Xenopus tropicalis: one gene and its partner. The protein of the gene in region 1 purifies or fractionates together with the protein of each later gene. This does not show direct contact. Links are inferred from orthologs where the notes say so. Each region holds a gene or a part of one and is shown on either strand. Other genes may lie near its edges.

Region 1 (4,187 bases):
GAAAACTCTCCAGGTTATTCTAAATTAAGGTAATGAAGAGATGACACAAAATTGCTATTGAATCTATCATGTTCCCATTAACTATCTCCACTTTTTTTGGGTTTGGCCGAACCCCTGAACCGAATCCTAATTAGCATATGGGGTAAAAATCCCCCACAACCATTTAACCCTTTCCGGATGCTAATTAGCATATGCTAATTTGGATTTGGTTTGGCCGGGGACTGCAGATTTAGCCAAAACCAAATCCTTCAAAAAAAAAAAAAAACAAAAAACAAAACAAAAAACCCTGGATTCCCTAAATTCCCTACAAGCCACTCTACAGTATAAACAGGTATGGCACCCATTACCCAGAATGCTTGGGACCTAGGGTTTTCCGAATAAGGGGTCTTTCCGTAATTCGGATCTCCTACCTTAAGTCTACTAAAAAAAAATATTTAAACAGTATTTAAACCCAATAGGATGGGTTTGCCTCCAAAAAGGATTAATTATACCTTAGTTGGGATCAAGTACAAGGTACTGTTTTATTATTACAGAAAAAAGGAAATCATTTTTAAAAATTCGAATTATTTGCATAAAATGGAGTCTACGGGAGATAGCCTTTCCGTAATTTGGAACTATCTGGATAATGGGTTTCCGGATAAGGGGTCCGATACCTGTACTACAAAAATGTTAAGCTGGAATTATTCACCAAACACAACCCCACTAGCTCTTTAGTGTGACAGTTTAAATGTAATACCCAATCAGTCTGTCAGCGTGAAAATAATGTCTGTGTCTTCCCTGGGTGATCATCAGGCAACCAATCAGTACCAACAGCCAGCATGTCCAGAGGTCTTCAGGCTTTCTGGGCTCAAGTCTTGCATTTCTGGCCGAAAAGCTGGACAGCAGCACCTCCACCCTCCAGTTCAATTTTACAGGTACAGGTATGGGACCCATTGTCCAAAGTGCTCGAGACCTGGCGTTTTCTGGATAAGAGGTCTTTCTGTAATTTGGATCTCCTATCTCAAGTCTACTAAAACAAAATTATTTAAACAGTATTTACACCCAATAGGATTGTTTTGGCTCTGTTCCCAATGGGTTTCCGGATAAGGGGTCCGATACCTGTACATCAAAGCACAGCATGTTTAACCTTCTACAGTAAGGGCTCTGGCACACAGGGAGATTAGTTGCCGCGTCAAATCTCCCTTGTCACGGGTGACTAATCTCCCCGAACTACCATCCCACCAGCGAAAATGTAAGTCACCGGTGGGATGGCACATGCAGCGCAGGCGATTTCGGCAAATCGCCTGCGTAGGTTCACTGGTGGGATGGTACTTTGGTACCAGTGTGCCAGAGCCCTAAGCCCAGGGTTTTGGAACCCTTACCTCTCCCAATGCCCCGGAGTGTGCACCCCAGTTATTTCACCAGAAAAACATTACACACACACAGCCACTATAAAGCAATGCACCATGAGCGTTTTTACAACATGATTCATCATCCAGCACTTTCATTGTCACATTTACCATGCTATGCCCATAGTGTTTGCAAAGAATTTTTCAACTAACAAAAAAAATAGTAATGTAAAAAAGATAAAAGCAGGGGACAAATAGTATATAAAATCCTGCAGAATGTGTGCAAAAGACAGAACTTTGCCCATTAATTGGCTGACGTGGCGTAATGTGTTTGTGCGCACTGTGAATCATATTATCCCTTAGTAATTAAAATGGCAATTTTCTTTTTAGTATTATCCAATGGCACAAACAACTAAAAACACACATTTTTACAAAAATGGTTTATTTAAATGAAACAGGGTTTTACATATGCATTGTTTTATACAATGTATTTTTATAGAAACCTGCATTGGGTGGGGGGTATAGTTTTCCTTAAATTATCAGCTGTCTTTTGCCTTTTTCCTGCCGTCAGATGGAGGGGGGTCACCGACCATCGCTGCCAAAAAACTGGTGCTCAGTGAAGCTACAATTTTGTTATTGTTTATTACTTGTCTTTCTCTTTAGGCCCCTACTTAATTAATCTTTTAGTGTCTCATTCAAATCACTGCCTGACTGACTGGTAAAATTTACCCAAATACCTGCTGAAATTCCATACTGAAGAGGTGTGGCAGAAATATGGATTAAAGTTGCCCCAACATTTTGGATGGGGAAAAAATAATAATAATCAGAAATAACCTGGGGAATGAGTAAACAGATTGACCCTGCGAGCAGGAAACATGGCAACTTTTTCCAGCAAGACGTAAAGCATATTTCTCCCCAGAAGTATATTAGAGAGCGTTGTGTTCTCAGACAACACTTTTGATAATGGAAAGAGCAACCCTTTGAAAATCAGAGAAGCGATCACCTTGGCTGCGTTCAAGCGATACAACTCATGCACAAAGTTGCGTGTTTTGGTCAATTTAGGGCGAGATTCAAACCATCAGATGTTATAAAGGAAATCTTTGTATCAGAGCAAAAACCCAAGGGCAACCTTTGCTTGTACGTCCCATAACTAAGCAGTCGCCAGGCCCACTGCCCCCAGACGCACACCCACTACACGCGTTCTATTCAGGTTTCCTGCTCCTCACTCAATCCCCTGAGCACAGCAGTAACTTTATATTTGTGCTGACCTGCTTCCTTTCCCACTGGCAACTCCACAGTATCACCGTCACCGAACTCGTCTGCCATATTCTTCCCAAGAAGAAGCCGGCACCGTGAGAAACTCACAAGAGCACACACACCGCGACACAGCGCCTGGCAACTGCGGCCAGAGCGGGTACGTGCAACTCTCGCGAAACGCGGGACTGCATGGGTTCTACGGCGAACTCTCGCGAGATTGCAAGGCGCTCGGTTCCTTATTCAAAACTAACGAAACTTTATTTTGCTTACCCGGAAGGAACAATCCAGGCCGATGAAACTTATTCGCGATTGGTGTATTTCAGGCTGCGGGAGAAGTTAAAATAGGTAACCCAAAGTCGTATTTATCTGTGCCGGGAAGAATGGTTTTGGTACAGAAGTCACAACGCTTTGTCATAATATATAAAACTGCCCTCGATATTAAGTGGAAGAATGGGCACCGAGTGACACAAGCGCTTCTGTAATGAGGCGAACAGAGACGCCACCTTGGCGGGCTCCCACTTCTGCCCAATGCTGACTGTATCTAATGTGGTTTTCGGGTGGCTTTTAGGTCTTCTCAACTGTGGGGGCAATATTCATTATTAATACGTTGCGTTACTGCGGGTGACCGGGTGAGGGCGTCAAATTAGGGCGGCCACTGAATCATTTATGTGTGTTGACATGTCAGAGTGTACCTTGCCAGAAGCCCTCTTACTGTTTATTAACCAGATTTTTGGCTCAGTTTACAATTGTGCTGCACCTCATGCCTATTTTTACCAAAGAAAAGGTAAATGATGGGGGGGGGAGGGGAAGGAGGCTACACAGTGTAGGTCCTGCAGTCGGTTGTGTATCAAGGGGTTACCTGTAAAAAAACAAAACAAAAAAGAAAACGTAGGCATGAACATGTACACATGTGGGTCGAGTCGGGTTGCGGGTCTGGGTCGGGTCCTGGTTTTTAAATATTGCTTCGCTCAGGATTCCAACTTAGGATCTGTGACCTTAAAGGGACTGTAACACCAAAAAATGAAAGTGTATAAAAGTAATTACTATATAATGTAATGCTGCCCTGTACTGGTACAACTGGTGTGTTTTCCTTAGAAAGACTACTATAGTTTATATAATAAAGCTTCTGTGTAGCCATGGGGGCAGCCATTTACAGGAGAAAAGGCACAGGTTACTTAGCAGATAACAGATAAAACCCCATTATATTCTACAAAGCTTATCTGTTATCTGCTATGTGCCTGTTCTCCTTTTTCCCAGCTTCAATGGCTGCCCCCGTGTCGACATAGCAGCTCATTTATATAAACTATAGTAGCGTTTCTGTTGCAAACTTACCAGTTTTACCAGCGCAGGGCAACTGTACATTATATTTTAATTACTTTAAAACACTTTCATTTTTTGGTGTCACTGTTCCTTTAATAGGAAGAAGGGCCAGAAACATCATTAACAGCTGAATCTCGTACCCACTGAGGAAAAATAAAACTATATCAAATATGACAGATTGTTCTTCCTGTGTCTTTGTGGGTTTCCATCTGGTGCAATAGTTTTTTCCACACTCGATTCTTCCCCTCAAAGAAAAAAAATAAAATAGAATGAACTTGGGCT
Region 2 (4,222 bases), about 15 Mb from region 1:
TACATACAGGTATCTATTATTGACATTTTATCCAATAATTTGTTTGCATTAGTTTGCATAAAAGGCAACTAAATCTTTCTACACTATCGTCTCCAATTATGTGAGTAGAACACAGATCAGCATCCATAAAAAACAGGGCTAGCAGACACAAGAGGACTGGCTCACAATAAATTAGACAGGATTAAACAAAAATTTCCACTCAAATACACAAAATGAAAACCTTAACACAAATGTTGACTACAAACCACATCCCTATATAGTTACCTTAATATTATATATTGGATGAATGTTCTTCATTGTATCCCAAACTACTTTTCTAACCTGCACAAGAAGAAAGATTTGTTTATTAAAATTTAATTCTTTTCTTCCTTTTATTAACCACAATAATGCAAAATCTACTCATCTTACCTCTTTTAATCCACTAAATGGCCCCAACGCAGACACTGTGTTACCCTGAACCATAATATAACAGTTTGTAAGAAGCTCCAGTGCCTGTTAGGAAATAGTAGTTTAAATAAGCATCTCCATTATTATTACACAGCATATTTTAGTTCCCAGAACTGCATACTTTAAGTACCTTTAAAGTTGATCCCTTTGGTCCCAGAAGCCGTTGTCTCCTTTTGATAAATCTTTCCCTGTTTCGAACTAAGGAGCCTATTTTAATAATGTCACAAGCCATATCATCCTGTAGTATTCTTACTGCCTAGATGGAAACAAATATCTTTGTCATTCACATCTTTTTATGTGAAATGGGCACTGAATCTGAAATTCTGTCTTTATTGTTATTATTATCTTATTACTCAGGGTCAGAATGTCAGAACTAGGGGTAGGGAGAAGAAGCACCTGCCTAGGGCATGATGATAAGGGGGCGCCAGTCAGGTACCTTCTCTTCCTACCCCTAGTCTGTGCCCTCTTGCCCCCATGTGTCACTGTGAGGAACTTTGTTTTCATTGTGCTACCTGAAACTGGCAAAAAAAAGTAATCACTGACAGGTTTGATAGTATGATCCCAAATGTCTTAATGTGTGCCCCAAGAATGTGGTAATAGTCTAGAAAAATATGTAAGATGTTTCAGACCACTTATTCTGCACTCTGACACTGCCATCCATTCATTATACCAATTAAAGGACATGGAAAGGGTTAGTAACTTAGAGATAATAATAAAAAAACAACAAAACACAAATACAAGAGTATTGTAGAAATTATACCTATATTGGCTAACAATAAAAATACATTGCAAGCTTTCGGAGCTCTAAGGCCCCTTCATCAGGCAAAATGATGATGATGATGAAGGGGCCTTAGAGCTCCGAAAGCTTGCAATGTATTTTTATTGTTAGCCAATATAGGTATTCTACAATACTCTCATATTTGTGTTTGTTGTTTTTTTATTATTATTATTTTTGACACTGGCTAACACGGTACTACAGTTTTTGTTTTGTGATTAACTTAGAGATGTAAGTGTATACAGTTGCTGATGCTGCTCTTCACTTAAAAACACAATGGTTCAGCATACTAAAATACCGAGCACCATCGTCATTTATGGTTGCTAGTATAGGGCATGCAAAAGTGCAGTAAAAAGCTCAAAGCAGCCACAATGATCACTGGGATTAGACTCAAGCAATGCTCAATAAATTAGAGCCCTGGGCTAGTATGTTTTTTCAGTGAAATGAAGCACCCGTCCAGACTATGAGTTTAGTGAACAAATTCTCCGGGGAGATTCTAACAAATTTGACCGTCTCAGTGACAATAACTCAGCAATGGTCATTGTACAAAAATATTTACATGTAACACAAACCTGCTCAAACGGAACACTTCTGGCAAGCAACTTTATCAAGTCTCTGGCTCGAACGATAACATATGGATCAAAAGTCTTCTTGGTTGTAGTGACAGTCATGCTGCCTTCAATCAAATCCAGCTCTGCTTTAACAAACTGCCACACAGAATCAGCATTAAAGTGACATAAAAACACACTGATAAAAAAAATATAAAAAGCAGTTAACAAAACCTCTTTAATGGGTTAAGTTGTAATTTTACTGTTATTTCCCAGTGTAAAAGTATAGTAGTAAGCAAACATTTTCAGGTTTGAAATGCTAGTGTAGATATACTTTGTGGTATACATGGTTAATAGGAATAAACAATCCATACACTTTCATTTAATGCCTTTTGAACTAGCGGCCAGCATTCTTTTAAGTAAGCCTCTCGATATTTGGGGAACAATGTAGCAAAACTGCTTTCTTCCAGTAATCCTCTTGGGTTATCTTCCTTTGTAAAAGGATCTTCTTTCCAGCCATCAGGGACAGTAAGAAGTTCAGATTCCTCCACTAGCAAGAAAAATAAAGACATAGCTAAAAGGATGCCGTTCTGCAACATGAACTGAGCTCTTTGACGTCTACGTTTTTATAACAACTGTATTAGCCTTGTAAAATGACTGCCTTCATATATATATATATATATATATATATATATATATATATATATATATAGGCATACAGCAGATGTGTACGGCTCCATTTTGTTTTTTCTCATCTCAGACATTAAAGCAAATATAGCGGTGTTACCAAAGAACTGAAAGCAGCACTCACCCGGCTGGGTCTGGCGTTTCTTGTTTTTGCCCTTTGCATTAGGTCCCACAGATTGCTCGGTCTCCGCCATGCTGCAGTTAGCCGGCTCCAACACGTGACATAAACACGGGAAGTGGGCAACATAAAATGCTCTCCGGCAGGAGTCCAGCTAGTTCCAATAGGTTCCGCTAACGCTTATGTTCCACGTTTTTACAGCATTTTTATGCTTGCACCACAACCTAGCCGAAGAGAAATTTATTGGATCCGGATATCAGTCTGTGGATTCTGGCAAATACCAGAAGCGCTGCTGTAAGATGCCATAGGCAGTCACTATTACACATTACATTGTGTTTATTTTATTTTTTGTCAATCTTGACCTTTTCCATGTTGCCTTCATGAAAAAAGTTATTTTTACATAAAGTTCCCTCAAAAAGGGGTGGAAATATATTCTAGGACAAGTGCATACCTCCCAACATTTGAAAAATGAAAAGAGGGACAAAAAGCAATTTTTGACCACGCCCACTTTTGTGGCCACGCCCCAATTACCACACCCCAATTTTTTAAAAAAATACTCCTTTTATATAGATGAAATGGCAGGTTCAGACGCAAATGTGCTATACCCTCATACTGTACTACCTAAGGAAAACAATATAACAACTCCTACATTAAAATACAAATATAGAGAGAAGGCAGTCAGTTATAAGTGAGTTATAACTATGTACCAGATTTGCCCAGCATACACAGGAGACCCCCCATACACAGGAGCCCCGCCACACACAGTGTCCCCCATACACAGAACCCCCATACACAGTACCCCCTATACACAGTAGCCCCCCATACACAGTAGCCCCCCCATACACAGTACCCCCTATACACAGTAGCCCCCCCATGCACAGTACCCCCTATACACAGTAGCCCCCCCATACACAGTACCCCCTATACACAGTAACCCCCCATACACAGTACCCCCTATACACAGTAGCCCCCCATACACAGTACCCCCTATACACAGTAACCCCCCATACACAGTACCCCCTATACACAGTAGCCCCCCATACACAGTACCCCCTATACACAGTAGCCCCCCCATACACAGTACCCCCTATACACAGTAGCCCCCCCATACACAGTACCCCTATACACAGTAGCCCCCCCATACACAGTACCCCCTATACACAGTAGCCCCCATACACAGTACCCCCTATACACAGTAGCCCCCCCATACACAGTGCCCCTATACACAGTAGCCCCCCCATACACAGTGCCCCATACACAGTAGCCCCCCATACACAGTAGCCCCCCATACACAGTAGCCCCCCCATACACAGTACCCCCTATACACAGTACCCCCTATACACAGTAGCCCCCCCATACACAGTACCCCCTATACACAGTAGCCCCCCCATACACAGTACCCCCTATACACAGTAGCCCTCCCATACACAGTGCCCCTATGCACAGTAGCTCCCCCATACACAGTGCCCCTATACACAGTAGCCCCCCATACACAGTACCCCCTATATACAGTAGCCCCCCATACACAGTGCCCCCTATACACAGTAGCCCCCCATACACAGTGCCCCCCCATACACAGATCCCCCCATACACAGAGCCCCCCCATACACATTACCCCCCACAGGAGCTCCTCCTTCGTCTGCGGCT

The links.
Region 2: the proteins of znf346 (region 1) and krr1 purify together in Homo sapiens (affinity purification with mass spectrometry; 3 studies listed by BioGRID and IntAct, with this or other methods). This does not show direct contact. The link is inferred for Xenopus tropicalis from reciprocal best matches to the Homo sapiens genes ZNF346 and KRR1.

Annotation. Positions count from the first base shown.
Region 1 is NC_030679.2:46,420,757-46,424,943, forward strand, and holds the start of znf346 (zinc finger protein 346), read right to left. Parts: upstream 2,801-4,187; 5' UTR 2,655-2,800; coding exon 2,597-2,654; intron 1-2,596.
Region 2 is NC_030679.2:61,103,402-61,107,623, forward strand, and holds the start of krr1 (KRR1 small subunit processome component homolog), read right to left. Parts: upstream 2,801-4,222; 5' UTR 2,652-2,800; coding exon 2,582-2,651; intron 2,321-2,581; coding exon 2,145-2,320; intron 1,930-2,144; coding exon 1,795-1,929; intron 704-1,794; coding exon 578-703; intron 493-577; coding exon 409-492; intron 322-408; coding exon 265-321; intron 1-264. UniProt on the Homo sapiens protein: Part of the small subunit (SSU) processome, first precursor of the small eukaryotic ribosomal subunit.